Arabidopsis thaliana: one gene and its partners. The protein of the gene in region 1 interacts with the protein of each later gene in a pairwise test. Each region holds a gene or a part of one and is shown in the gene's direction. Other genes may lie near its edges. The genes, in order: AGL75, ZFN1, NAC004 and PAP2.

Region 1 (6,791 bases):
GTAGGTTGTTACGGTCGGTCTATTGTTAATACCAATAAACTGGAGGTGTAATCTTGTATACCAAGTTCTTGACGAATGAAATTGTGTTGAGCCAAAAAAGAAAAAAATGACAGGTAGCTTGAAACTAGAGGAATACATCTGTGAACCGAATAAAAAGTTATAAACTCTCACCTTTTCAAACTAGTTTTGGACTTCAAACAACAATCAGAAAGAAAAAGTAAAAGTACAAAAAAGAGACAAAATCGTTGGCATCTGAAGTACAGGAGATGTTTGTTGTGTAGGAGAAACAAAGATCAGTGCATAGAACGAGAGTAATGGTTGTCATTAGGGTTTCTTTTCTGGCTGAAAACCGACATAGCTTTTCTCACAGGAGGCTGCAATGGCGCCTTTCTATCACTATGATGGTTCAAGAACACATCATCTGATACGAAGTACTCATCACCCTGCAAACAACAGCATAATTTACCTTAAGATTTCAATCAAAGTTACAGATTTGAGTTTGAGATAGAAGACACGAAGAGACTAACCGGTTTGCTTGCTTTCTTCTTGGTCCTAGGGTGGAGAAGCTTTTGAGGGAGTTGATCTTCCCGTAGAATCAGATTCTTGGTGATTGCCTCTCTTCCTCCTTTAGGCATTGGTATCGAATACTGCACAGAAAGAAAAGACACATGTATCAGGAGAAGTTTTTATCTGTGTATTAGGTTGCAGATTTTAAAGGAAACAAGGGTTTAAGTTTAAAGGCAGTAACAAATGACAAATTGATCATATACATGCCGGAAAACATGGTGGTTCTGTTCTCATGCTATTTCAAATAAAGAATACAAGATTCTTCACTAATACAGGAATTTTTGGTGTTTTGGTTAGCTTCTGCTTATAACAAGTTACTTACTTGGGTCCCTCGAAGTGTAATTCGTGGTTTACATGCAGCTATGATGGCGCCATTCGCGCCTATTGTAACCGCTACCTTGCGTAGAGTGCCACCATTCCCACATTTGGGACAGAAGATTCTTCCAATTTCAGGAGTTACTGTGTAGCAAGCATGGCATTTTAAGATCCACCTGAAGATGTCAATGCAATAAAGTGTAAGAATTGTATCTTTTTCAGTTAATGACCCTTGCTAAAGAAAAGTGTCTGACATTTGAACAAAAAAAAGGAAGATCTGATCAATTTAGAGTACCTATGCAGTTGGCGAATTTGCATTCCGCCGGGTGCAAGCAATCGCAAACCCATTTGAAGAATAACATTCTGCATTGCATAGTCACCAGTTATACAAGCTACACTGGACTCAGATAAAGCTCTCAATGACCAACTCTGCTCGCTGCTACCATCATCTCCAATCGATGATGCCTCGAAGGTATCCTCAGCCTCACTAGCAATCTCCAAGTTCTCTAGCGCTTGATTTGCAACATCGATCCCCTCAGCTTCGACTTCAATATCATGATCAATATCATCCTCACCATTGATCAAAGTTGCTTCAGCATTCGTCTCTTCAGTCTCTTCTTGGAGAGCCCTTAATGACTCTTCCTCCAACCTCATATCTTTAAGGATGGAAGATATATCCTCACCATTCTTTCCACTATCTTTTGCGTGGGTTTCATTGGCCTCTTTAGTGTGTCGAGCTTTGTCAGCTTCTTGATCTTTCTGAATTTCTTGTTCAGCCAAAGCATTGTAATGTTCCCACCTTGCCTTTCTTCTAAGATACTTTGAGTGAGTACTTCTACTGACTGCGGGTCTCCAATCACTAGCATCATCATCATCATCATATTGCCCCTGGGATGCATCAACTCCCTCCACTACCATCTTACCCTCAAGCTTAATCTCTGTTTTCTTGGGCGGGTATCGCCTATGCTTCTTCCCACCTTCCTGCACATCCTCTTCATGATTCTCAGTATGAGAGACAACAGAACCAACCTCAGAAACATTGTCTGAAGCAATAATATTCATGTTAAGGTCTTTCAATGGAAGGATTTTGGAGTTAGCGTTGGATTTTTCCTCAGTCTCGTTTTCAAGTGCCTCCCACTCCTCCAAGTTAGCCACATTGGAGCCCCAACCAGGTAAATCCTTCTCAGGTAATCTCTTAACTCTAACAGTTTGAATCGGTGGAGGAACATCTCTAAGATTTTTGGTGCCATAAACCTGAGCCTCAAGCGTGTATGACAAAGCAATCAACTTCAGATCAACATCAGACAGAGATTGCAAATCACCAGTAGCTCTTGCAAATTTGATAACTGCAGAACCAAAAACAATCAATCTCAGAGATACAATACAATCTTTTCTCCAACACAAGAATATACAAATACCTACTTAGGTACAAATTTCACAATCACAAGAATAAGAATCACAAAACTAATAAGTGTACCTTTACTTAGAGATTCAGGAGAAGGTTCCATGGTATCAATAGTGAAAGGGATGAAAGCGAGACGACGGCGAGAAGCAGGGTCACGAATCTCAGAGAGAACCTCAGGGACAGTTACGAATTTGTCGGCGAAGTTTGTTAAGCTCTGACGTCCTTCAATGATGGCGTTGGCGTCAACAACCGCAATAGATATTCCTTTTGTGGATTTGCAGTTTCCGACCATCCCGAGAATCGCTGCCGGAGCTCCGTCGTTAACCGGAGGCTTTGAAGGTGGATCTTTCTTCACAATTGAGCTCCACATCGAGGTTGGTTTCGGATCCATGGTTTTCGTTATTTGCCGCTTCAAATGTGGGTGGGTTTAACGAAGAGACTGAGAGATGGAGAGAAGAAGAAGAGTGTAAACAAAAACCTAGGTCAGATCCGAGACGACGTCGCTTTTTGTCCATAATTTTAAATGGGCCTCACAAGGCCCAAATAATTGCGTAGATGTATAAAATACTATCTGATTAGAGCTAGAATTTGAAGACTAGTATTAACCAAACCAAACTAGATCATATCAAGGGTTAATGATATCAAATTATAGTTGTGTTTCCTTTTTATCAACCCTTAACGGCTCTAGAACGTAAAATCTATGGAAATCGAATCTATGCAAATATATGGAAATCGAAACGAATCTATCTATGCACACATCTTTACGCGTTTTTTTATCACCGATCATCTATAAATATATCTAATTCTTTCTAACTATTTCATAGTTCATCATCTTTTTCACAAAGCCAAAGTTTGTCTTCGTGCTTTCTCTTAACTTTGAGCGTGAAAAAACACAGAGTTTGTCTTTGCAATCAACAAGAAGATGACTATGCGATCATCTTCACCTTCGTCCTCTTCTTCTTATTCACTCGCTTTCACAAGTTTGAGCAATAGGCTTGAGACCATCTTCAAGAAAGCTTCAGAGCTTTGCACTCTTTGTGATATCGAAGCCTGCGTTATCTATTACGGACCAGACGGAGAACTTAAGACATGGCCTAAGGAGAAAGAGAAAGTGAGAGACATTGCTCTTAGGTATAGTCTATTGAACGAAGCATTGAGACGCAAGAAAAGCGTTAATCTTCATGGGTTCCTGAACAAGAAGAAGAACAAGGGTTTGAAGAATCCGAACAAGAAGATGAAGACGAGTCTTAAGAACGTGAATATTTTAAAGTATCCACTCGCTGATCATTACCCTCCCGACCAAGTTTCTCCACTGATTCAGTCCTTGGAACTCCATGTCTCTAAATTCCAAGAAAGGCTTCGATTTCTTGAGTCGCAGAAACAGAATCAGACAAAACCGGATCATCAGAGTTTAACACCATCCTCTCTGAATCATTACACCCAATCTTTGAACCCTAGCCAGTTCTCGCTGTTTATGTATAACCATGGAGACAATACTCTGTCTCAGATCCCAGTCTCTGCATCAAATTTCAATCAGGATTATTTCTCAGCGTTACTTGAAGAATCTGAGTTGAAGAATCAGTTAATGAAGCCGGAGATTTGTGGTTATGATCAGAATCAGAACATGAGCATGGGTGACATCACAAACAACAAATTTCAAGATCCTTGCGTCTCAAACAAAGAAGCGGTACAAGAATCTGTCAACAACTTTGGGTTGAATCAATTGATGTACAAGGAGTTTTATGGTTGTGATCAAAACATGTCTATGGGTAACATCAATAGCAACAGCTTTCAAAATCCTTGCGTCTCAAACACACAACATTACTCGGCGGTAGAAGAATCTGTGAAGAACCCCTGGTTGAATCAGTTAATGCAGAATGAACTTTACGGTTACGGTTATGCAGGCTTTTGTTAAATTCTTATGATTTATTAAGAACATCTTGAATCAATTTGATGTGTTGTTGTTGATCTGTATTCAGCTATTGTAATAAATTTGAATCATCATCCCTAGAAACATTAATTACTAAAAGCCAATTTTATCTATTTCTGATTGCTCTCTATCATAATAAAGCCAAATTTCCAATAGACTCTCAACAGAGCAATAACCGTGGCTGAGTTCTGATTCCTCCACTTTGTCTTTGTCTTTTCTATTCACAGATATAACATCCTCTCTTTTCAAACCTGTTTCAGTGATTCTCTGTTCTAAGAAATAATAATCATCGCATGTTTATTAAACGGAACAACATAAGCATTACAGTTTCAGTAAACATGAGAACAGTGTGTGGGGGTGGGGTGGGGGGGGGGGTGGGGGTGGTGTTTGGACACTAATGTTTGCAAGCTTAAAGATAAATTGTGCAGGTGACTCTTCACACTACTGTTATTTTTTGTCTTGTGATGATGATTCCTTCCCTACCATAATGTCTGCACTCTGCAGCAACTTCCCTCTCCTCTTGACCTTTATCTTGTGATAGTCCCTCCCCTTCCATTATGTCAGCTGCAGTTTCCCACCCCTCTTGGCCTCTATCTCCTGATGGTTCCATAAGTTTCCATACTTCCATTATATTTCCACCTTGCTTTCCTTTGAGTTTTAGCAGTGCAGCTACCCACTTTTCTCGACCTTTACCAGCTAAAAACGATCCTAACAGTCTAAGGCCCAAAGGAAGTAAGCCAGTGAGATGGACAGCACAAACTGCGAGCTGGTTCAACTATAATTTACATATAAATCTAAACCTTCATGTTGTGATGTTCAAAATGCTCGGGTTCGGTAAAAACCTTTGATAAAGTGATTATTACATATAGTTCAAAAAACAAGTGATTATTACATTCCTTATTTTTCTTACAATGGAGAATAGGAGATAATCGGCTTTTCTTCAACGAACCAGTGACTGACCCCTGAAACCGGTTTTGCCAAAGTTTTGTTCTAAGTTCTTAGATCTTGGATTGAAGACCCGGTTTAGATAAGGTTCCCATCTCTCGCCGCTTCTGGAATCCTTCTTTGACTTTGAAAAGGATCTCATGGGTCTCATCAAAGTGAGGCATTGTTGCTTTTTTCGTATTCTCAATCCATTGTTCAACTTTCTTATGAGTGCTGAGCAATCTAAGACGATCTTTGTCATCCAAAACCTACAAAATTGCATAAATTTTACAATCAAAAGCCAAAACATAGCAAGGATTGGTATTTCGATGAATTAAAAAAACGCACAAAACAGTGAAATTAAGTGAGTACCTGCAGCTGCATAAGTTCGCATACAAGGCTGAGATCAGCTATAGATGGTTGGTTGCTTCCGAGCAAGAATTTAGCATTGCCCTTAAGCCAAAAAGTCTCTAGAGTGGACAGAGACTTTGTTAGTAACTGCTCAGCTTCAGCAGCTGCTTTCGGATTCAGAGGAAGACCGAGAGCTGGACCTAGTACACTATTCAGAACATATCCAGCTGCAACAGTAAAAACAACCGTAATCAGAACTATTTGACTCTATAACTTCTCAACATCGATGAATATAATGTACAATACCTGCACCACGACGTAAATTGGTGTGATGCCAATCCAAAACTGAGTGAATCTTGGCTCTTTTGGATAGATCATTTGGATACCTAAAAGTAAACAAATGAACATCAAAGCAAAATGATTACACTTTGTGTCAAACGAAGTAGAAACTTACCAATGATCAGCAACACTTGGAAACGCCGAGGATAGATATATCAGGATTGCGTGACTACGAAAAGAATCAACGGTTAAGATTCATAAAAAATGGTCAATAAACCAAAGCAAGAACCCAAAAGAGAATGAACTTTTGTGTTAACCTCTCAAAGAGCTTAAGCCTGCCATCAACAATAGCTGGAACTTTCCCCAATGGGTTAATATCTGAAGAACAAGACACATTTCTTAACAATATTTACATTAAGAAACAACACTAAGCATATATAGCCTTAGTCTACACTAATCTACACTAATGATCTCATATACACTAAACATAAATCTACCAATACTCAGATTTGAAACTTTGTTGATTATTTGTACGAACCTTTGAATTCAGGAGATAATTGTTGACGCTTCGCCAAGGAAATCAAGACCTCATCGAATTGGATTCCATTAACCCTGCAAAGGATAAAATCCAAACAAAACAAAGATTCTCATGTATTAGAGAAAACAAAATTGGCTGAATCTGGAATTAACAAGGAAGTTCAACGAAATTACTTGCAGAATATGATAACAGCACGTGATGGCTGTGACATTCGATCTGCATACACTTTGAGCTTCATCATCTTCTTTTTCGTCTGATTTTGTGGATCACTGAACGGTGGTGATAATATGGACAAGAAGAGAAGTGTCTCTACAGTAGCTTGCTGTTTCTACAGTAGAGAGTAAAACACCGTGCCGTTTTTGTTTCTCTGTTGTGACCAAAGACCTCTCTAAACCGGTTGGTTAGGCTAATTGCTCCTTCTTCACCATCAAAGCAATACAATTACAAGGCAGAACCGGCCCTTAACCAGAACCAGTTGAGAC
Region 2 (8,088 bases), on another chromosome or scaffold:
TAATCAAGCCCTTGCGCTGCAGCATACGCTATCTGCATCCTAGTTGTCCAATCCATCGGATCACTGTCTGCTTTTGGTTCTGCAAAATTCAAATTGTCATTTCTTTCAAAGTAAAAAAAATGTGTTCAATGAGAATCTCTCAATTTAGTACCATGAAGATGGTCTTGAAGTGAACCTCCAGAGATATAATCATAGACCAAAAGCCTTTGATCTCCATCCGCGCAGTAACCAATAAGCTTAACAAGATTCGGATGATCAAGTTGGCCTAAAGACAAAACCTCAGCTTGAAACTCTTTGTTTCCATGTAATCCATGCTTGTCTAGTTGCTTTACAGCCACCACCTACAAGACAAATTCTTCTGATTCTGATGATGGCTCATTGAAAAATACCTAACTTTGGTGATGGTCTCATGAATGTATCCTAAATTCCAAATTCTGGAGATTTAAGGAAGAACCTGGCCAGTAGATTTGAGGGTTCCTTTGTAAACCCTACCAAATCCACCTTCTCCTAGCAAACACTCTTGCCGGAAATTCTTTGTGGCTGTAGCTAATTCCCGGAAAGTGAATATCTTCAACGATGTTCCTTCCGATTGCTCTATTTCCTCTGTTTCTTCTGCACGTCTCCTATCTTTAAAAACAAACAAAAAATGATCATTTTTTGTTTTCTTTCATTTTACTGATCGTATGAACAAGGAAAACTAAGAAATGGTACATCGTTAGGAGATAAATACCATCTGGTTTGGGTTCGTTGTTGTCGTTGGTCTCATTCGTAGTTGAAGATTTCTTGTTCTTTGGCGAAGAGAAACACGGAAAACAGTGCATGATGATGATCAAAATCGGTTTTAGCAATCAAAGAGTATTATTATTTGAAGATAAAACAGATCGAAAAGAATTAGATTTTTGGAGTTTTGTTTAGGATTAAGCAATGGTCGGGTCCTTCATGGAGATTGAAGGACCCACGTAAAAGAAGAAACACAAGAAAAAAAATGAAAGGAGAAAGAGAAGAAGAAGATGAAGTTGACAATCCAAACCACCGGAAAATCGATGAAGAAGAGTAATTTTTCCGAGAAAAAATGGACAAAAAAAAAGTTTAGATTTTTTGTAATAATCTCAATCTCTCATAAACTCTTACCTTTTCCCAAAAGCATGGAGAACCATCCTTCTTCTTTCGAATTTCTGTATAACCTAATTTTAAAAATCCTGTAAATAAATTCTCAAGTAATGATCTTGAAGTGGATTAATCTGTCCCACAACACACTAAAATTAATAATTTTTGCCAGTATTGATAGATCATCCCGCTAAAAAACGCTATTTCTGGACTATAATAATACTATTTCTGGACATTATTTGCAACTCTCTGTCTTCTCTACTACGTTACTAATATATTCTACTGGGCTTTAAGGCCTCAAATTACAATATGTTTGGTTCCAAAATTTGTATTTAATGGGCTTCTCTTTCTTTAGGTTTTTATAATAAACCGGGTCAAACAGTACCCGACTCGTCTAATTTTCCCGCTAAAGAAAAAGTGAAAACCGCCCAAATAATTTTCGATGGTGGAATGATAAAAGACCTAAGAGGGAGAAAGAGAGATCGAAGAGTGAAATCTGAAATGGAATCAGCTCCGACGGGATGCTTCAAGTGTGGTCGTCCCGGTCATTGGTCTCGTGATTGTCCATCATCGGCTCCGGTCGCCGGCAATAATTCCGTTTCTTCTTCTTCCGCTCCATCTCAAATCCCTAATAATGAATTTCAGAGATCCTCCAGTAAAAGTGGAACCTCAATAGCTCCTGCTCCTAAAGTGACGAAGACGAGAGTTCAAAGGCCCAAGCTAACTCCTGAATTGTTACTCTCTGAGGATGGTCTCGGCTATGTTCTTCGCTATTTCCCTAAATCCTTCAAGTATCGTGGCCGAGGCAAAGAGGCAAGTCTTTTTTTCACCCGCAGATTCGTTTAACAGCGGTTTTACATGTTACAGTGTGATAATTTGGATAATATGAATAATTTTTATAGGTGAGCGATTTGGGGAATTTGATACGGTTGTACAGTGAGTGGCACACTCATTTGCTACCTTACTATTCCTTTGATCACTTTGTGCATAAAGTTCAACAAGTCGCTTCTACTAAGCGTGTTAAGGTACTACATTGCTCGATCCACTTTTTCTGTTTTTGTAAAGCGTTCTTCCTTGTGGCAATTGTGAATCTATGAATCCGGATTTAAAGGTTGAAAATATTCCGATGATTGTATTAAGCAGTGGTTAGTCTAGATTGCTGTAATCAGAATTACATTGTTCGTCTCCTTGTTTGATGTTCACTCATGTGTTGCTTTCAAGTTGCAAGATAGAGGATCTGAGTATTTGTTAGGCTGTTTTGGTATATGATCATTGTGCTCATATGTTAGTCTTTACTTGTGTAACATACTTAGGTTCTTCCAGTAACTAAAAACTATATGTTCACTTGATGGCTATGTTGCCTTTGCGTTTATACTTGATCTGAATCCTGCTGACGGGCTAACATCGTGAAACAAATTATATAGGCCAGAATGACATTGCTTGTCTCGTTCTTTGGTGATCAATCATCTGTTGCTTTAAAGTTCGAATTACTAGACTCTGAGGCTGTGTTAGGTTGCTCATACGTTCTTTACTTCCCTAACATAGTTAGGTTCTGCCAGAAACTGAAACTATATATTCACTCAATGGCTATGTTGCCTTTGCATTTATACTTGATACATTGATATATACTGATGTGTTATCCTTTTAGAATTGTATAAATGAACTGCGAGAAAGGGTTGCCAGTGGAGTTGATCCAAACAAGTTATACGAAAAGCAGGAAGAAAATACTGTTCCTTCTGATGATCAAGGTATGTCAAACAGATCAGCTTTTTTCCCTTGAATCTTCTTTTAAGTTTAAGATATTGATACGAAAAGGAAACGCTTCTTATGTGGCTGCATAACACTTAAGTTCAATATCTGTTACATTACAATCTTGTGGGTAATGAATAGTCTTCTGCTGGTAATCTAGATATGGATCAGCCAAGTCATGACGAAGAGAACATACCATCAAAGAGCGTTGATGCTGATACAAATGCTGATGCTTTTGAAGACAGTATGTTGAATGAGATATTTGATAATGCTTCAAAGTTACCGAGCGATGAACAAAACATGGATAAAAGCAGTGAACTGACAGAAGAGCAAAGAGCACGTATGGAAGCTAATAGATTGAAGGCAATGGAGAAAGCTCAGAACATTTCCGAGGAACAGAGAGTACGTATGGAAGCTAATAGGCTAAAAGCTCTCGAAAGAGCCAAAGCAAGGCTCCAACCAAATCAAGATTAGACTAGAGATGTTCAATTTGAATTTTGGATTGAAAAATTTGTGCTTTTGAATGTTTCAATTAGTTATCTAATAGTAACAAATGTGTGTCCGAAACTAGAACATATGTATGGATGTCTGGTCGTGTGTTAGTTTCGGTTGTGGATCCATCAAACCCAATATTATGGACCGTAATTTGTTCCAACCCAAGTTGATGATAATTGGCATAAAAGCTCTTTATTGTTTGGTAGATTTGATTTTTCCAACAACTAAAATAAATAAAAGTTGTATATTCAAAAAAAATTCATAATAAATGGAATGAAATAACCACATAGAAAAGGACAAAGATAATAAAAATTTCTGACGTGTTCTCTACCGTCCAATTTTGGTGGAGAAGATAAAATAAAAATTGTCGCACTCTAGTCTTTACGAAAATAGAAAAAAAGAAAATCAGTAGGGGCATATTCGTCTACGTACATACACAAACTTTAAATTAATTGATTTTTCTCAAAATTTCTTGTTTGATTTGTGTGGAGGTGAGACGAGAACGCTTTTTTGCTTTTCGTCTTTCTCTCTCTCTTTCTTTCTTCACTACCTCTCACCTCTCTGTTTACACGATTCTTCTTCTTCTTCTTCTTCTTCTTTAGATGTCTTCTTCCTCCATTGTCATCTACCTCTCTACACTTCATTTTCTTGTTGGAAGAAGATCGATTACCGGTGACTCATTCTTAGTGATGACAGTATAATGTCTGATGCTTATTATCATCATCATCATCATCGGAGACATTCTTCCTCTTCACGTCTATGGATTTTAATGCCGGAGTTCCCATGTCTTCTCTTTCACCTTTGATGAATCAAGGTCCTATCAATTTCTTCTTTCTTTTCTCTGTTTTGATCGGCAAATTTTGGTTATTTGTTTTGTTTTTAAACGGATTGGGTTTAATCTCAGTTTCTTCTTCTTGGTTTGGGTTGTGGTTTATGATCAGATGCAATGTGGCAAATGAATTTGAGTTCAGATGAAACAATGGAAACTGGTTCTTACCCTGAACGACCAGGAGAGCCTGATTGTTCTTATTACATAAGAACTGGTCTTTGTAGATTTGGCTCTACTTGTCGGTTCAACCATCCTCGTGATCGGGAACTGGTACGTTATGGTTTTTGTGTTCCTCTCTGTGATTTTGGAGTTTAGAGATCTGTCTGGTCGGATTATAATGTCAAAGCTTTTGCCTTTTGGAATTTTGTTTTTGAGCTCTTCTCTCTCATTGTCCAATTTCTAGGTTATAGCTACTGCAAGGATGAGAGGAGAATACCCTGAAAGGATTGGTCAGCCTGAATGCGAGGTAAGAATCTTTGGTTTGTCCAGTTGTAGATGAACATTTTGTCAAGGTTTGGTAATTGAGTCATCTTCTTACACAAACTAACTTAACATTTTGTGGTGTTGTATGTTTTGGTTGCGCAGTACTATTTGAAGACAGGAACCTGCAAGTTTGGAGTAACATGTAAGTTTCATCATCCAAGGAACAAAGCTGGGATTGCTGGAAGAGTCTCTCTCAATATGTTAGGCTATCCTCTACGCTCGGTATATTTGACTTTTTGACTTGCTGATTTCATTACTTCTCATTGTTTCATCATCTTAGTGATTCTCTGTAATGTCATATATGCAGAATGAGGTTGATTGTGCTTATTTCCTAAGAACCGGACACTGTAAATTTGGTGGTACTTGTAAATTCAACCACCCTCAGCCTCAACCAACCAACATGATGGTTCCTACCTCAGGGCAACAGTCTTATCCTTGGTCAAGAGCTTCTTTTATTGCCAGCCCTCGTTGGCAAGATCCGTCTAGCTACGCTTCCTTAATCATGCCTCAAGGAGTTGTCCCGGTTCAAGGATGGAACCCTTACAGTGTAAGTTTTCTAAACAACATTGCTTATACTCTTCAGACTTTATATGACTTGGTTTTGATTTCTGTCGAGTGTTTCTCGGGGTTTCCATTTCGTTAGGGTCAGCTCGGCTCAGTTTCTCCTTCAGGTACCGGAAATGATCAAAACTACAGAAATTTACAGCAGAACGAGACAATAGAGTCAGGCTCTCAGTCTCAAGGATCATTCTCGGGTTACAATCCGGGATCCTCTGTTCCGCTAGGAGGGTATTATGCATTGCCGAGGGAAAATGTGTTCCCGGAGAGACCAGGACAACCCGAATGCCAATTCTACATGAAGACAGGTGACTGCAAATTTGGCACAGTTTGCAAATTTCACCATCCTAGAGACAGACAAGCTCCTCCTCCTGATTGTCTCTTAAGCTCCATTGGCCTCCCCTTACGCCCGGTAAGCTCAAAGACTTGTGCATAATTACTTGGTTCTCTTCGATTAAATCTCTGCATTGTTTGATTTTTTTTCTTTCTCAAAATGATAGGGAGAACCGTTGTGTGTGTTCTATACACGCTATGGAATCTGCAAATTTGGTCCAAGCTGTAAATTTGATCACCCAATGCGAGTATTCACATACGACAACACAGCTTCAGAGACAGATGAGGTAGTGGAAACATCAACAGGGAAATCTAGAAGACTCTCTGTGTCTGAAACAAGACAAGCAGCAACAACATCCTCTGGTAAAGACACTACCATTGATAATACACAGCAGTGAAGAAACAAAGGAAGAAGAAGAAGAGCTTTTAAACAAGAAGAAAAACAAAAGCTTTTTGATTTTTCAAAAGAGGAATCTGTAAATTCTCATTTTCATTTAGTCTCTCAAGCATTTATTAATAATGTATAGAGGTGATTTATACAACTGATCTTGATCTTGATCTGATCGCCATTGTTGTAATATTCTTTTGGCGAATCAGGTTCAATAAAATTGAAAGTAATTTCCCTCATATTTGGCTTTGACCATGTGCATTGGTGCGATTAAAATATTTCGGTAAAATCAAACCCAAATGTGTTAAACTGGAGCCTTGTTTTTTCTTCAACTCATAGGCCTTTTAAAGGTTGGACCTACCGTAGAAATAAGTTGGGCTATAAATAAAGCCCATATTAAATTAAAACATTCTAAACCCAATAGTTGTATAACCGGCGTCGTTTTGTGCTTAGTTCCATCGGTTGCCCTAAACCTCTCTGTATAAACTTTGCGTTTTTCTTTCTTCCGTTACCTCCATATCAGTTTTTAGGGTTTAGTGTTACAGTGGCGGAGATATCTTAGTTTGTGTTGGTGTTTTCTTGTATGAGGTCATCTAACAAAGCAAGATAGGTTATAATTTGTACCAATTTTGTGTCGGAAGATGACAAGATTAGTTTTATAGGCCTCCATGGGAATTTCTTCATGGAACTCTTCTCTTCCATGGAGTTGCTCTGAGGAGGTTACACTTCCATAGTCGTATGTATTTATCTATGTCCGAATCAAGCTCGTTGATCAAATCATAACCTTTTGTGTTAGTTTTGTTTTTTTAACACTCTGAGCTACTGTTTTCTGGTGTCTGATGAGATTCGTCATCCTTAAAGCAAATAGGTTATAACCTCTGTGCCAAATTTGTGTCGGAAGATGACAAGATTGATTTTGCCTCTCCATGACAATTTTGCTTCATGGAAATCTTCTCTTCCATGGAGTAGATCTATGGAGAGGCACATCATTGTGCAATTGGTAAATTCGTCTGATCGTTTTTTTATATGTGTTTCTGCTTTTATTATCGGGAGAACATTATTACAGCAAGATTTTGTGTCTGAAACAAGAGAAACGATTGTCCATTGATACTTATAGCAGTAACAAGCGAAAGAGTCTGTAAATGATACAGAGCATTCTTTGATATGATTATCCAAAGAGGATCTTATTGATGAAGAGTCTGTAAATTCTCCTTTTCCTTATTTATAAAAGTCCGTCCTTATTACAAAGCCGTAGAATGAATTTGCAATGTTGAAATATGGATGAAATTTTGAAACTTGATTCCTGGCGATAATTTGTGCTTTAACTGAAGATTAGGTAATTTTCAGCATTAAGATAGTTTGAGAATTCATGGCTACGATGATTGAACCAACTGGCTTATGTTTTACCTATCTGCGTTAAATTTCGTGGTAAACTGAACCGGGATGTAATGAATCCGGTTTTGGTTTGATTTTTTTTAAATGAAAATAACTTTCTGTGGATCTTTTAATCGAAAATAATATTGAACGTTACATAATTGGGTGAAAATTCGTATTTATCAGATATTTGGTTTTGATCGAATCTTCGTGTGGTTTATCTTAGATACTCGAACTTTTAAAGCAGTGTATGAATCTACGCGTAAAATATTTAATGTATTGAAGTAATATTGGAAAAACAATGACGCGGGGAAAAGTAAACAAACACGGACCCGACGACGGATAAGCGACCAAGCCCGAGTCGCATCGTCTTGGTCTTAAGTCTTTCCCTACTCGTTTTATCATTTTCTTAAACTAAAAACTAATTTAATCACTCTTAATTATTTACTTTTTTCTTTTAATTCAACTATGACTAATTCTTATTCACAGAATGAGTCTCACATGCCTACTCGTCGTACTCGACTCCAGTCCAAATGTTCCCATACTTGTAATCTATACTACATATATTATACGTCATCGTCATGTATATACAAGACTCAATATATAACGTCCAAATTAATCAAAGATTTAACATGATCGGGAACCAATATCTAATCATCGATTAGATATATTTAAGTCTAGTAACTAATTAGTATATTTTCTACAAATTGTTTAATTAAACATATAGTATACAGTTGGTAAAGGGGAAACACGCGTAATCTATATGTATATA
Region 3 (8,038 bases), on another chromosome or scaffold:
TTATAGCTAGGTTTTATTTCCACACTTATGTAATTTAATAATAGTTATAATATCCATATTTGCATCATTGAAAAACAAACAGTATCACAACTATGGGTCTGACTGGTAGTCTTCTATAGAAGAAAAATAGTGAGAAGAAAAAGAATTCTTCTGTGTTGTACTTAAATGTAACCAGTCAGATAAAAAGTAATTGGTTTTGTTTCTTCCCAATTCTTCAAAAAGCAATAAAAAGTAATTGGTTTTGTTTCTTCCCAATTCTTCAAAAAGCAACGTGAAAAGGAAGAATTCATCCCACTTCAAATACATGAGAGAGAAAATTCTTCTGCTTTTTGCTTTTTCTTTTCTTCACTTTTCTTCGTTTATTTTTCATCTCATTTCGTCCATTTTTTATCAGTCACACCCTATATAAGTAAGAAAATGGTATAGCATTTTTCAAGTTGAAGTGGTTCTTCTACTCCGCAGATGTGTGTATGTAGAGCTGAGGAATTTATGAATGTATATGTAAGCGCCCCTCTTTTTTTTTGTCTTTTGTAATTTAATATTCACATTGTATTGTATGCTATGTTCCATACTCGGCAAATCCTTATATTTGTGGCTGGTTCTTTTTATTTACGACTTCTACGAAGTTTCCTATATACAAATTTCAATGTGGTTTACTTTTTGTGATCTTATATAAGCTTCAAGATAAATTAACCATTGACGTTAACGTTAGGAGTAACTGTCACATCACATGACTAAGCGCACTTTGACTTAAGTGGGTAGGGTATCAAGAAGATGATCTGGTAGGAAAGAAATTATGTGACCCAACATCTGCATTATGGGGTCCAAAACCTGTCCGTAAAATAGTTGACGAAATCTACCAAGGATCTCAATTTTTTTTTTTTTTTTTTTTTTTAGGATCTCCTTTATTGTGCCTTATATAAGCGCACAAACCCATCTTGCCTGCTTAGAGCATGACCAGCGGTAGTTTTTTAAATTTGGTTCTCAACAGTTAAGATATGCTTTAAATCCCTTTGTTGGACTTGCTCTTATGATATAAACTTGTAGACGAGCGGGCGAAGAGCGACCATAGAGAAAGCTCTCTACTTCATATTTTGATATCTTTCCCTCTCTTAGTTTTGATCTGAACCTTTTTGTAGCTGTTGAAAAATGGCGAATCCGGTGGGTTTTAGATTCCGTCCGACTGACGGGGAGATCGTCGACATTTACCTCCGACCGAAAAATCTCGAAAGTAACACGAGCCATGTCGATGAAGTCATTAGCACAGTTGATATTTGTAGCTTCGACCCTTGGGACTTACCTTGTAAGTCTTTCTAACGCGAGTGTTTGTTTTTCTTTGGTTCCCAACTGTTGTATCATCCCGGTAATTTCTGATCATGTTCTGTCTTTCCCAGCCCATTCTAGGATGAAAACAAGAGATCAGGTTTGGTATTTCTTCGGCCGTAAGGAGAACAAATATGGTAAAGGTGATCGACAGATAAGAAAAACCAAGTCTGGTTTTTGGAAGAAAACTGGCGTTACCATGGATATAATGCGCAAAACGGGAGATCGTGAGAAGATCGGTGAGAAAAGGGTTTTGGTGTTTAAGAATCACGGTGGTTCCAAGTCCGATTGGGCTATGCATGAGTATCACGCTACGTTCTCGTCTCCTAATCAGGTCATTTTTCGATTCTCTTGTTTAGGCTTCTTTAACTTGTTGTTGTTGTTTTCTTACCGTGATTTTATTTCTCGTAAACGGGAAAAATCTGAGTTTATGGTAATCATTTATGCTGAGTTGATCTGTAGATAATGACATACACACTCTGCAAAGTTAAGTTTAAGGGTGAAAGGAGAGAATTTTCAGTTGCTACTGGTAGTGGAATTAAGCATACTCACTCTTTAATCCCTCCTACCAACAATTCTGGAGTTTTGAGTGTAGAGACAGAGGTGAGTCAATCTCAAAAACTTTCCCTGTTTCTCTTTTAAATCTTCAAAATCATATCTCGTACACATAGTTTTTTCATCTGTGTTACGTTGTTCCTTTTTTCAGGGATCGTTGTTTCACAGCCAAGAATCACAGAATCCAAGTCAGTTTTCTGGCTTTCTTGATGTGGATGCACTAGATAGGGACTTCTGCAATATTTTGAGTGATGATTTCAAAGGCTTCTTTAATGATGACGATGAGCAGAGTAAGATTGTTTCTATGCAAGATGATCGCAACAACCACACACCTCAAAAGCCATTGACCGGTGTCTTCAGTGATCATAGCACCGATGGTAGTGATTCTGATCCGATTTCTGCAACAACTGTAAGCAAAATTTTCCTATTTTACCTTTACTATCTCCTCTGTTTTCAGTTTTTTCTCACAAAGCTATAGTTTTGTTTAATACGACAGATTTCCATTCAAACTTTAAGCACTTGTCCTAGTTTTGGTAGCTCAAATCCTCTATACCAAATCACTGACTTGCAGGAATCTCCTAACTCAATCAAGTTAGTGTCATTAGCTCAAGAGGTGAGCTTTATCATCTCCTTTTCTTAAAGACCAACCATTCTAAACTGCTAATTAACCAAGCTACTTTGTGCCAGTACTCACAGCATTTTGGGTTCTATGATGTGATTTAAGGTGAGCAAAACACCGGGAACCGGTATTGATAATGATGCACAAGGGACTGAGATTGGTGAGCATAAATTGGGTCAAGAGACGATCAAGAACAAAAGAGCTGGTTTCTTTCACAGGATGATACAAAAATTCGTCAAGAAAATTCACCTAAGAACATGATATCAATTTTGTACTTTCCAAAATCTGTAGTAGTATGTAATATGTGTCTATCTGGTTTTGTAACTTTTACACATTGTATGTGTGCCCTGAGATATATTAAAATATAATGGTGAATTTGTGATAAGATGTGGTTAGAGGAAAGAAAGATGTATCACTTCATTTGATTCAACTAACAAAATGGTCAAACCACATCTTTTTTTTTTTTTTGGTAGTAACGTGACATAATAACTCCCATAATTATGTATTGTTTTGTTTTATTTTAGAATCCCCGAAAAATATTCGGATTTTCCCTCCTTTTTAATGGAAGAAAACTAGAGATACAATATGGATATCAAAAGCTGTAGCAATCAACCTAACAAAATAGACAATTTTTCGTAGCAATCAACCTCTACTCATCTAGTCAGCTAGTCCTACTTAACCCCACAAAAGATTTCGTTCAACAAAATAAAATAACAGTATCATCAAATCAAAGATGCTTTAATCTTAATTCTAGCAATGTCACGAGTCTCTTTTGGACTTTTATAGATGTGTGCCACGCGAATATCTTGTCATGTTAGATGTTTAAGCCCAAAACCCGCCATTAGACTAATCATAACTTTTATTTTATTTGAACGTCTTAACGGTCGTCATCATTCAATTTGATAAATTTTATCTTTCTTTACCAGTTGTTTTATTATTTTCCACGTTACCGACTTTTAAAAAAAGTGATTTTACTATGTATTTACTATAAAACGTGTTAAAAATTATACTAAATCGGAATGTGAAAATGTCATTAATCCGGTAAAATAAAACGGAATGAAAAAGAGTATTTAGAGAATTTGTCAGAAAGTGTAAACAAATAAAACAAGTGTGTGGGGATTGGAAAAATCATGGTGGGGTCATTAGGATAAGTGCCAGCCGCCGCCATGTGAACTTGGTGTGATGTGTCCTGCTTTCATCATACATGACGTCATCCACTTAGTGGGTCCCATCATCTGGTCATAGTTGACGTCACTTACTCCCGTCACAGCCTTTTTATAAAAAATTATAAACACACACTTCGTCTTCCTCCTAAAAACAAAAAAACTCACACATAACTTGCAGAGCATCGTTAATGGCGAAACCTCTCTGCTACATATTTTGACTTTTTCTCACCAATTTTGTCTTTTATCTGAAACTTTAGTCGCTCTCGGACAATGATGAATCCGGTGGGTTTCAGATTCCGTCCAAACGACGAGGAGATCGTCGACCATTACCTCCGGCCAAAAAATCTCGATAGTGACACTAGCCATGTCGATGAAGTCATTAGCACAGTCGATATCTGTAGCTTCGAGCCTTGGGATTTACCTTGTAAGTCGAGTTATTTTTTCCCAAACTGTTGTATCGAATTCGAAATCATTTGCTCTGATTTCCTCTCCCTCTTTTTTCACAGCCAAGTCGATGATCAAATCGAGAGATGGGGTTTGGTATTTCTTTAGTGTTAAGGAGATGAAGTATAACAGAGGTGATCAACAGAGAAGAAGAACAAACTCTGGGTTTTGGAAGAAAACTGGAAAAACAATGACTGTCATGCGCAAAAGAGGAAATCGTGAGAAGATCGGTGAGAAAAGGGTTTTGGTTTTTAAGAATCGAGATGGTTCAAAGACCGACTGGGTTATGCACGAGTATCACGCTACGTCCTTGTTTCCTAATCAGGTAATTTTTCAATTCCAAACTTTTAGGGTTTTTTGTTGTTGATTGACCTAATTCCAGATTCCTAGGGTTTTTTCTATCTCTCTTGTTAATTGACCTAATTCTGGTGTTTTGTGGTGGTGATCGTGTTTTGATTTGATTATTTGTACAGATGATGACGTATACAGTCTGCAAAGTTGAGTTTAAGGGTGAAGAGACAGAGATCTCTTCTTCTTCTACTGGTAGTGAAATTGAACAGATTCACTCTTTAATCCCTCTTGTGAACAGTTCTGGAGGATCTGAGGTGGGAGAATCTCAAACTTTCTCTGTTTTGTCTTTAGAAACTTTGAAATATCTGACATTAGTGTTCCTCCCCTTTTTCAGGGTTCGTCGTTTCACAGCCAAGAATTACAGAATTCAAGTCAGTCTGGTGTCTTTGCTAATGTGCAGGGAGAATCTCAAATCGATGATGCAACTACACCGATTGAGGAGGAATGGAAAACATGGTTGAATAATGATGGTGATGAGCAGAGGAATATCATGTTTATGCAAGATCATCGCAGCGATTACACACCTCTAAAGTCGTTAACTGGTGTCTTCAGTGATGATAGCAGTGATGATAATGATTCTGATTTGATATCTCCTAAAACAGTAAGCAAAATTTTACTCTGCATCTTGATAATCCTCTGTTTTCAGATTTGACATCAGAAAGCTAAAGTTTTTGTTTCATATGACAGAATTCTATTGGAACTTCGAGCACTTGTGCTAGTTTTGCTAGCTCAAATCATCAGATAGACCAAACTCAACATTCTCCTGACTCAACAGTCCAGCTAGTGTCATTAACTCAAGAGGTGAGATTTATTATCTCATTTAACTCTAAATGCTAATCATGTTACTTTGTTAATTTCACCACTCACAACATTGAGACCAGATTAGAGAAATTATTTAAATGGTTGGTTCTTTAATATATTTTGCAGGTGAGCCAAGGTCCGGGTCAAGTGACTGTGATTCGAGAGCATAAATTGGGTGAAGAGTCTGTCAAGAAGAAAAGAGCTAGTTTCGTTTACAGGATGATACACAGATTAGTCAAGAAAATTCACCAATGTTATTCTATCTCAAGAACATGATAACAATAGATGAGACCAAGAACACCTTTTAGTACTTTTCCAAATTTGTAGAAATATAAGTTATGTCTATCTTGTTTTGTAAACTTTGATCAGATTGTGTGACTTCATGTATGTACTCTCTCTATATAAAAAGGGTGGATTTGTGATACGAAGTTGTTAGAGAAGATAAAGTTGTATGAATTCAATTAATACAACTACCAAAATGTTATGTCTATCCTTTTTTGTGTAAAATTTCCCTATTTTATGTTGGTCCAATATATAAAAACGGTAAATTTGTGATGAGAAGTCCGAGAAGAGAAAGTTGGATAATTTTCAATTCATACACGATACAACTAATAAAATGGTCACTTTCTTTGACAAAAGATGAAAATGATCACAATCAACCTTGAGGCTATAGTCCTACCTAATCCCCACAAAAGATGTCAGGTTCTCAACAAAAGGAAACAAGGATAATATCAAATCAAGATGCTTCGATTTTAATAATGTCAAGAGTTTTCTATAAGACTTTTAGTCTACATCTTACGTGCAGCATATTGTCACTTTTATCTTTGAGTCCAAACCCCATTTGACTGATGCTAACTTTTTGTTTTCTTCCTCATTTTGAGATTTTTTATTTTATTAACAAATAATGAACAAGATTCTTTGGCTAAATACAACCAATCCAAATCAAAATCATTTCAGCAAACTGTTACCAAACATTTCTCTAAAATTTAAAAAAAAAACAAAAAAAAAAACATTTTCTCTAAATCTGAAAGAATATTTTATGGCCAGAAAATATTATGGCCTTAGTTGAAAGTTGAAACTGTGCCTTGGTTGAAAAGTATGCACGGCGCGTGTAATTAAAATGCTTCCACGTGGCCCAATTAGCTCACATATTTTAGATTTGGTCGTTGTTGGTGTTTGGTAACATGTCCTGGCCCACCACTACTTCACTGTTCAATTAATTAATGAAAATCCTAAATTGCAACTTGCTAATACTTTAGCTTTACTACTCCTTGGTAACTCTTATAACGAACTAATAAGCTGTATTTAGCAAAAAAAATTACTAAGTAGGAGGAGGAGTATTTGGTTGGAGCTGTCTAGTTCTTTTATCTACGCCTCCTACGAAGTTTCCTATATACAAAATCATTATATGTGGTTTACATTTTTACATCGTTTGCTTCGACATAAATAATGAACTATCGAATTTAACAGAGCAAAAATAGAAAAAAAAATGTGGGATTAACAGCGTAACTGTCACATGATAAGTGCAATAATTATATGTCAGTCTTTTGATTAATGTATATTTTAAAAACTTGCAACTTGCAAATACTCTTTTCCCCTCTTTTTTATATTAAAACTAAAATATAAACCTTTTCTATGCCATCCTGCAAGGCAGATTTGGGCACTATCACAAATTCCTACGGCCCCAAGGATTTTTCCTTCGAATTCAATTTTTACGAATTTGGATCATTTGTTTTGGAGAATTCCTTCAGGCGTCGATTCGGCTTCTTACCCATGGATAATTTGGTATATATGGAAAGCAAGAAATGAAAAAGTTTTTGAAAATGTGGATAAAGATCCAATGGAAATATTGCTCTTATCGGTAAAAGAGGCTCAATCGTGGCAGGAAGCTCAAGTCGAGCTCCATAGTGAAAAACATGGTTCCTTGTCTATAGATAGTCGAATTCGGGTGAGGGATGTATCACAAGATACAACTTTTTCTGGCTTTCGGTGTTTTATTGATGGATCTTGGAAAGCAAGTGACCAGTTCTCAGGAACAGGATGGTTCTGTCTATCATCTCTTGGAGAGTCGCCAACCATGGGAGCCGCCAACGTTCGTAGAAGTCTATCTCCTCTACATACCGAAATGGAAGCTCTTCTTTGGGCGATGAAGTGCATGATTGGAGCAGATAATCAGAACGTAGCTTTCTTTACAGACTGTTCAGACTTGGTGAAGATGGTGTCTTCTCCAACCGAATGGCCGGCGTTTTCAGTGTATTTGGAGGAGTTGCAAAGTGATAGGGAAGAATTCACAAATTTCTCTTTATCTTTAATTTCTCGTAGTGCAAATGTAAAAGCGGATAAGTTGGCACGAAAGATTCGTACCGTACCGCATCATGTCACGTATGTAAACAATATCCCTCGGGATTGGCTCTTTTGAGGTTTAATTTATATCGGTTGACAAAAAAAAAAAAAAAAAAAAAACTAAAATATAAACCAAAGGGTAAAGATATTTTGTGGGAGAACATTTTTCTTATTCATGAACCAAAGATGACGATAAAGCAATGTATGTATGTTATATGAGTAAATATATATGATTGTGACAAATGATGATAACCAAACTTGCCGCGTGTTTACCATTCCAAAACTGACCTACGCCGTCGCATATAAGATATAACCTTTTGAATTGTCTTCACTCTTCAGCGTCACAAACTCACAATTTACAATCTTTTTTGGCTCACACAATTTACCCAACTTACACTTTCTTTTCTGTGCAACAACTTAACTTACTTTATTAAAT
Region 4 (7,951 bases), on another chromosome or scaffold:
AGAAAAAAAGTTAATCTTATTATATAAAGTACAATTTTGAAAGTTACTAACTCACGAGATCATGACACGTGGTTATTTGAACGATTTTAGATTTTGACATGTGTTTGATTTTTTTTTTTACTTTTTCCTAAAAGAAAATAGAAAACTAAAAAACAAAGATATTTATATATACTAATTAATATGTTTATATCTAAATATTTAACTTACAATTTTCTTATCTAAAATATAAAACTAACAAGAAGATGGAGTGTATATAATTAAATTATATAAAAAACTAACAATAAGATGGAGTGTATATCATTAAATTATATATTTTATTATGGTAAAATAGGTATTTAAATTGTATTGCAAAATCGAATTTGTAAGATTGAAATTTGGTTTAAAGAAATACTAAATTACATACTGAAAAAGTATGAGAGTTACGTTACTATTTAAAATTCAAATATCATTAATAAGATGGAGTGTATAGGGACTGCATAATCCGAGTTACTCATGTGTATAGTAAAACTAATCGCATAGTGAATGGATTAGCAAACTATGCGTTTTAATTACTGCTCGGTTTATATTTATTTGATGTTTGTCCAACAGTTGTAAGTCCGACATTGTCAGAGGATATAAACGGGATGTCGTTTCCACAGAGTGTTTGAATGTAGTTTTTATGTTATAAATAACAAAATAGTTTATTATGATGAAATAGATAGTTAAAATATAAGTAAAATTGAATGTGTATGATTAAAATTTTATGTAATATAAAAATTACTATATTAAATATTAGAAAAAGTGTGTAGATTACTATTTACTATATAAAGTTTAAATATTATTGATAAATATTTAAATAAATTTATATCATACATCCGCCTATTTAGGCGGCCTTATCTAGTATATATATATGAGGGCGTGTGTAGAGATTATACTCAGCCACCAAACGATCCAATATTATATATATGTGTGTGTGTTCTATATGTAGACAGCGCCGAAATTAATAACCGCATAAGAAAAACAAAACCGGCAGTTACCATTATGCGGTTTAATTTGATGACAGGTTAAAAAATTATATCGATCTAATTTGATGACAGGTTAAAAAATTATATCGATCTAATCATTTATAGCCATCGGATTGATTCGATATGGTAGGTTATGAGTTATAATGGAGCATGAGGTTCTTGTATGGATGTTAAATCAAGGAGGGTAAGTGGCTTCTTTGTCTAAAGATTCACACTGTCTCTTTGTTCTTTTTTTTTCTTCTTTTTTCGATTACGACACAAACCGATCTTTCACTAACGCTGTAAGTACGGTCGTCCACTGATTTAACATTTTAGGTTTAGTGTAATTCCATTCGATCCTCAACTAACTACATAGTTTTCAATTATAGTCATAATTATTATGCTTGATGAAAAGCAGAAAAAAATGAAAAAACATTAAGTATAACATCAGTACTAAAAATAAATAAAATTATAGTATGTATTTGTCGCTCACACAAGTCTATAAACAAACATTCAAAACCAACATTTTAAGTTACTTAAGCTGTCTCTCGCTAGTATAATTAAACCCTAGAGTTACTTATGATGTCTCTTGTTAATACAGTAAACCCAACGTGGCCATATATAATAATAACAATAATTAAAACCGCCACATGTGATGCAACATCCATATAGATAAGTAAATACTTTGGGTAACTCCAACTAATCTTTAGATTTTATAGCCTTCATATGATTTCTATAGTGATAGACACATTTTTACTAAAGATTCGTATCCTTAGATAGCTTTGTAAGTAACTAATGGCACGATTAGATGGTGAGTTAAGGTGGAATATAAGTTGAGATGTCCCAAAAACGACAAAAACCTTGCCCAAAAAAAGAGAGAGACAAAGGAAAAGTTAAAGAAAGGCACCTTATGATTAAGACACTCGAACTTACACTAAAACACAAATCTAAAAAGCTTTAGATAAGATCCAAAGATGGATCCACCTTAGAGGCAGGCTTTAACCAAATTACTATGCATATGATATTTTATAATACTGCAACTTACAGGTCTTTTTTGTATGTCTTCTTGCTATGTATATACTTATCGTTGTTACAAATGAATGACTTAATCAATACAGCCAAACAATATATAAATCACTGGTAGAATATAAATGACAATATTTCATATACTTCTTCTCATGTTATATTGTTATAGCATCAGATATATTGGTTTAATAAATATGGGTTAAAATATGAGTTGAAACGTTTAAATGTAGATTGAGTCATCCACTTAAAAAATATACTTGGAGATAGATTAGATGGGCATAAATACTATCAAAGTTAAATCTGATTTGATCATTTAAACTTTTATTAATTTAAGACTATGATCCAAGTATCAAAGTTTTACTAATAGGTCAAATTGTAATGTACTGTAGCATATATGCTCGATTTTGGGAAAACATTGTCTGATAAAAATGAAAAGTGGAGTGTGGAGACCACAATTCTTTTTGGGAACACTGCTCAATATTGCTACTGCGGCTAAGTGGCAAAGAGCTACCCCTACTGTTTCTTTCCTCTTTTCATGCTTCTGGTGGACCCAAAAAATGAGAGCCTATGGGCCCAAAACTTTTTCGAGATTCTCTTCTCTGTTCTCACCCCCAAGCCTAAATATCATCTTCCATCGCAATTATTGGCGACTTACTAATAATCTCCATTCGTTAGCTAAACTACTAGTGAATTTATACAAGTTTGTGAAGTTTAAACTCCAATACGTTTGATTTATTATAGAATATGTTATGCTATCATGCACATGATTAAATGGTTCACCGTTATTAGATTATCATTATCATCACTCAATTTCATGAGTAAAGATTGGTTTCACGAGCTAACTTATGAGTTATATCAAATCGTCTAGTGAATCTAAAACATATAATGTTAAGCCAAACTAAACAGAATTAGTGACTCATTACAACATCTCTATACATATATCAAAAAGGAATTGCATACAAAAGCGTATTTTAGATACTAAATCGTTTTGCATGATAGCATAACATGCACACCTTCATGAGATAGCAAATTGTTTTTTTCAAATACAAAAGTAAAAAGTAAAACAAAACGTGGAATACGAGAGTCGAGACAAGGGCATAATAGGAAAGGTTTCAGGACGCTTTCTGTGACCTGTCGGGGAGTAGATGTCTACACAAAACGTAACGTGTATATACAATACATTCATGTGTACCATTTTCTTAAATCAACATTTTGTGTTTAAACCCGCCAAAAGAGGAAAGTACTTACTTCTAATTACGGTTTATATGAATATAAAATTACGTATACTACTTCCGTCCACTTTTGGAAAATAATACGATTCCAAGAAAAAAGAAGATTAAAGGTAAAAAAATAAAAAAAAATAAAGCTCTCTCACACACCTTTTTATCATTTCTCATTTTCACTCACAATTTGATCTCATCTTTAAATTTTTTTGTTTCCCATTTCTCTCAGAAAGTGTTCTGTTCTTTTTTTCTTTTGTAATCACTAAATGCTTCAAAAGTTTGTCCACAATTATATTTGAAAAAAATGTCTGTATCTGTAGCAGCAGAGCATGATTACATAGGTTTGTCAGAGTTTCCAACCATGGAAGCAACAACAATGTCTGACAAAACCAAAACCAGAGACAATAACAACGGTCTCAATTTCAAGGCTACCGAGTTAAGACTCGGTTTACCCGGTTCTGAGTCGCCGGAGCGAGTCGACTCAAGATTCTTGGCTCTCAACAAGAGTAGCTGTCCCGTGTCAGGTGCCAAAAGGGTGTTCTCCGACGCTATTAACGACTCTAACAAATGGGTCTTCTCTCCTGGATCCACTACTGCTACTGGTGATGTCGGCTCGGGTTCTGGTCCCCGTACCTCCGTCGTTAAAGATGGAAAGTCGACAACTTTCACTAAACCGGCTGTTCCGGTTAAGGAGAAGAAGAGCTCTGCTACAGCTCCAGCTTCAAAGTAAGCTTTTTTTGCTCTGTTTTAGATTTTTCTCAGCTTTTTTGCTCTGTTTTATGATTTCTGTGAAGAGGGATTCTTGATGTTTTTTTTTTTTGATTGAGCAGAGCACAAGTGGTGGGATGGCCACCAATAAGATCATTCAGGAAGAACTCAATGGCTTCTTCTCAATCTCAGAAACCTGGTAATAACTCAGAGACTGAAGAAGCAGAAGCTAAGTCTGGACCAGAACAACCTTGCTTGTATGTCAAAGTGAGTATGGAAGGTGCTCCTTACTTGAGGAAAATCGATCTCAAGACTTACAAAAGCTACCTTGAGCTCTCTTCTGCTCTTGAGAAGATGTTCAGTTGCTTCACCATTGGTAACGTTTTCTAGTCTCTCCTTCTTTGAGATCAATACCAGTGATTGAGTTAACTGTTTTCTTTTGGTTCCTTTTTTCAGGTCAGTTTGGTTCTCATGGAGGGTGTGGCAGAGATGGGTTAAACGAGAGTCGCTTGACTGATCTCTTGCGTGGTTCTGAGTATGTTGTAACCTATGAAGATAAAGACAGTGACTGGATGCTGGTCGGAGATGTCCCTTGGGAGTAAGTCTTTGATTTTTAAAAGATCAATCTCAACAATGTAAATTAACATCAAGTATTAGATCATATCTAATGATCTTAGCACAGTTTTAGCTTAACAGAAGAATATAGATCAGTGAAGCTCTCTTACTGTTTTTTCCTCTGCAGAATGTTTATATGCTCCTGCAAGAAGCTGAGAATCATGAAGAGCTCTGAGGCTATCGGCTTAGGTTAGTATTTCTTTACTAAACCCTAGTTTAATGTTCCACACCCATGTGCTCGATTTTAAGATGTATTAGAAAGGTGGTCCATTTTGAACTAAGACACCCTTCTAATACTTTCATGGTTCTTAAGCTTCTCGCTGGATTCTATAAACATTCTGAAGCTAAAGAAATATATTACTGGAGAAACTAAAACGATGCAATTTAGTCCTTTCCAAGCCTCTTAAACACTAGGAACTTACTGCACACTACTGTACAAATGAAGAATACACAATGATTCATACACAAATCTTGCTTTTTCTTTTTTTGCAGCTCCAAGGGTGATGGAGAAGTGCAGAAGCAGGAACTAGGAAAAGCCCTTTTATGTGATAATATATGATTTGAAAAAATATGTTTTTAAGAAATTGAATAGCCATTTTGTTTTGAAGTATTCTTGTGTGTTTGTGTGCTAGGAGTGATGTTTGATCTTTCTTAAACCAGCCTCTACTAAGCTCTAATAAGGCCTCTTCCTCTTACTTCTTTCTCTAATCAATCTAATGAAACATATGGGTTTGTGTATGTGTGTTTGCCAAGGAAGACTTCATAATTCATATGTATAAAAGTTTTGGTAGTGTGTAAACCGGATGTGGTTTTCATTGTTATATATGTTTTGGATGCAAACTTTACTATAGAAAATAGTTTTTCTAGTTCATGAGTTTCCATGAAATGAAGTTATAATGATCCTTTGATAGAGCTTATATCATTCAAACAAAAGACTTCAAAAACAAGGGTTTATTACTAGACATGTACAACGGGTTTACAAGACGCACAACACTTACTAGCGTTTTCACATCTTCATACTAAACATATATATCTATACTACTAAAGAACCTAATCCTCAGATTCCTTTCTTTATGACTTCTATGTACAAAACGAAAGTGAAGACACCCACAAAGGCTTACCGGGATGACAGAGTACCTCCGATATACTTCCTTATGTCTCAGTTTTTCTGAAAACTCCAGCTTCTCTTGCTGAGGTTGCTCACTATCCAGCCAAAGTCGAGTAGATTTTGCCCGTATTGTATCTTCACAAGGTAACTTCTGTAGGGTATTAGTATGCTCTTGAGACCTGAAAGCATTCGAGATAGATGGTTTCAAGATACATCAGTACATCACCAAATGGAAACGGCCATTATCAAATATTACTACCTGAATAATAAGGTAAATTATGAAATAATCCCACATTGATATAAAAGCATAAGGAGATTGTAGTTACCTGTAATGCACATTGTTTTGTAAAAGTGAGCAACTTGAGCATCTCCCCTAGTAACTACACGCTTGTTTGATTCCAAACACTCAAGAAACGCCATGTCAGCTTTAAGCAACTCTGCCTGGTCATGAGTATCATAACCAATATCATGGCAATAACAGCAATGATCTAACCAATCAATAGGTCTCTGATCCCAAACCATCGAACCTCCATCTTTCCCACTAGACCAGTTAGGTCCACAATAATGTCCATATCTCGGGAAAAGCTGTGACAGAAACGCCCTCGTCCCTGTATGCCACGGAACCTTAGACACATAAGGTCTAAACCGATAAACAGTATTCACACCATTTGATCTTGATGACCTCCGAGAAAGAGCATGCCTTTTTAACCCTCTGTTGATAGTAGTGGGTTTCTGCTTACCATCAGAGGCATTTGCAGACCAAGGAAGAACTGAACTGAAGGAGGACCAAGTCCATATCTTTATATCAAATAAGCCTTTCTCTTTCTCTGGCTGTTTGAGAAGAAAGGTTGTTGCTTTCTCTTGCTCTGGCTGTTCCAATAGAGAAGTTGTTGTTGGTGTCACGGAATCAATCATAGCTACATCTTTCTTTGTGCTGATGCTACCAAACCAAGATATACTTGGCAACCCAAAATTCATCTGTAAACAACAAAACAGTGCATGCAATGACTTCAGCAATCAAGTGTGATCCAGACAAAAAGGGAAGATTTTTATCTTTTCAAATTGGGAAAATTTCGAAATTGCGAAAGATCAATACTCAAAACCCTAGAATTGACTAGTAAAGAAGAGTAAATCGGATCTCGAAAATAACAGAGAAGGATAATTCGAATGAGCTTTTGCATTGAGAGATTGGAATGTTCACGAACCTGAGCTTGAGAGACGCTACGAGAAGAGACAGACACACGTTTTCGTTTTTTTTTTCCTTAGCAAATGACAACCTCGGAATATCGTTCGTTACTTTATGTCTTTATCTATCCCTAAATTTTATTGGGCTCAAAATGGGCCGACCGACCTTTTTTAGCCCACAAATTATAAAAGGAAAAAAACATTATTGTAGTGTATGTAGTAATTCGGTCGGTTTGATTTTTATATTTAGATATAATATCCAAAAGGAAACAAAAAATTATTTTATTTAGTTTCACTTCTTCAGGGAAATTCATTTGAAACTTCTATTTAAAATAAGGTTTAAAATTTCATTATAACCAATCTTTCTCCGAATTTAGTGTATAATGTCACATTGTCACTAAATGCACATTTATATAATGCAAATCTCATATTTTCATGAACAAAAAATTACAGGTTTTGATTAAAAACTAATCAAAATGTGAATACTGAAGATTTTGTCTACAAAACAAAAAGGAAGACTTTTACTTTAAACTCCATGACACAAAACAGAGCTCCCTTATTTGAAAACTTTACTTCGTCTGTCTCATCAGTTATCTTCTCCAAGAGTAAACTTCACAAACCTTCTGACTTTGATGTTTTCCCCAAGAGTAGCCACTGTTTGCTTCACCAGATCCTTCACCAGAACACTGTCGTCTTTGATGTAAGGCTGCTCAAGCAATGCCCATTCTCCAAGCCTCTTTGAGATTCTTCCTTCCACAATCTTCTCCCTTATGTTCTCTGGTTTCGACAAAAGATCCTCTCTTTGCATCTCAATCTCTTTTTCTTTCTGCTTTATCTCCTCTGGAATGTCCTCTATTGAAACATATTGCACCTGCACGTAGACATTTCAGGTCAGAGACCAACAACCAATTTATGCCATTGTTTCAGCTGAGGACATTTTCTTACCTGTGGATTAGCCACTGCTTGCATTGCAAGATCATCAACCAATTCCTTGAATTTTTCGCTTCTTCCGACAAAGTCAGTCTCACAGTTCACTTCTATCAGAACTCCAATCCGAGAATCGTGGATGTACGAACCGATTCTCCCTTCTGATGCAAGCCGGC

Evidence for each region.
Region 2: the proteins of AGL75 (region 1) and ZFN1 interact in a two-hybrid assay, tested with the Arabidopsis thaliana proteins (one large-scale study listed by BioGRID).
Region 3: the proteins of AGL75 (region 1) and NAC004 interact in a two-hybrid assay, tested with the Arabidopsis thaliana proteins (one large-scale study listed by BioGRID).
Region 4: the proteins of AGL75 (region 1) and PAP2 interact in a two-hybrid assay, tested with the Arabidopsis thaliana proteins (one large-scale study listed by BioGRID).

Annotation. Positions count from the first base shown.
Region 1 is NC_003076.8:16,487,335-16,494,125, forward strand, and holds AGL75 (AGAMOUS-like 75), read left to right. Parts: upstream 1-3,209; coding exon 3,210-4,202; downstream 4,203-6,791. Other genes in the region: AT5G41190 (RNA-binding NOB1-like protein), read right to left, coding at 294-443, 528-647, 890-1,058, 1,178-2,228, 2,360-2,678; GSTT1 (glutathione S-transferase THETA 1), read right to left, coding at 5,216-5,410, 5,514-5,719, 5,799-5,878, 5,947-6,000, 6,089-6,149, 6,310-6,383, 6,483-6,550. UniProt on the Arabidopsis thaliana protein: Probable transcription factor that may function in the maintenance of the proper function of the central cell in pollen tube attraction.
Region 2 is NC_003074.8:609,965-618,052, forward strand, and holds ZFN1 (zinc finger protein 1), read left to right. Parts: upstream 1-3,807; 5' UTR 3,808-4,110; coding exon 4,111-4,165; exon of another isoform or gene 4,166-4,292; coding exon 4,293-4,450; intron 4,451-4,583; coding exon 4,584-4,646; intron 4,647-4,765; coding exon 4,766-4,885; intron 4,886-4,970; coding exon 4,971-5,210; intron 5,211-5,306; coding exon 5,307-5,633; intron 5,634-5,721; coding exon 5,722-5,952; 3' UTR 5,953-6,181; downstream 6,182-8,088. Other genes in the region: AT3G02810 (Protein kinase superfamily protein), read right to left, coding at 1-79, 152-341, 455-627, 731-821; AT3G02820 (zinc knuckle (CCHC-type) family protein), read left to right, coding at 1,558-1,920, 2,010-2,132, 2,756-2,855, 3,017-3,330.
Region 3 is NC_003070.9:432,671-440,708, reverse strand, and holds NAC004 (NAC domain containing protein 4), read left to right. Parts: upstream 1-3,786; 5' UTR 3,787-3,933; coding exon 3,934-4,087; intron 4,088-4,169; coding exon 4,170-4,432; intron 4,433-4,580; coding exon 4,581-4,712; intron 4,713-4,792; coding exon 4,793-5,059; intron 5,060-5,145; coding exon 5,146-5,259; intron 5,260-5,385; coding exon 5,386-5,535; 3' UTR 5,536-5,744; downstream 5,745-8,038. Other genes in the region: NAC005 (NAC domain containing protein 5), read left to right, coding at 1,150-1,303, 1,395-1,657, 1,786-1,926, 2,030-2,287, 2,375-2,491, 2,603-2,758.
Region 4 is NC_003075.7:14,320,799-14,328,749, reverse strand, and holds PAP2 (phytochrome-associated protein 2), read left to right. Parts: upstream 1-3,388; 5' UTR 3,389-3,536; coding exon 3,537-3,958; intron 3,959-4,062; coding exon 4,063-4,316; intron 4,317-4,396; coding exon 4,397-4,538; intron 4,539-4,682; coding exon 4,683-4,744; intron 4,745-5,047; coding exon 5,048-5,085; 3' UTR 5,086-5,454; downstream 5,455-7,951. Other genes in the region: AT4G29070 (Phospholipase A2 family protein), read right to left, coding at 5,715-5,842, 5,990-6,641; emb2726 (elongation factor Ts family protein), read right to left, coding at 7,435-7,719, 7,794-7,951. UniProt on the Arabidopsis thaliana protein: Aux/IAA proteins are short-lived transcriptional factors that function as repressors of early auxin response genes at low auxin concentrations.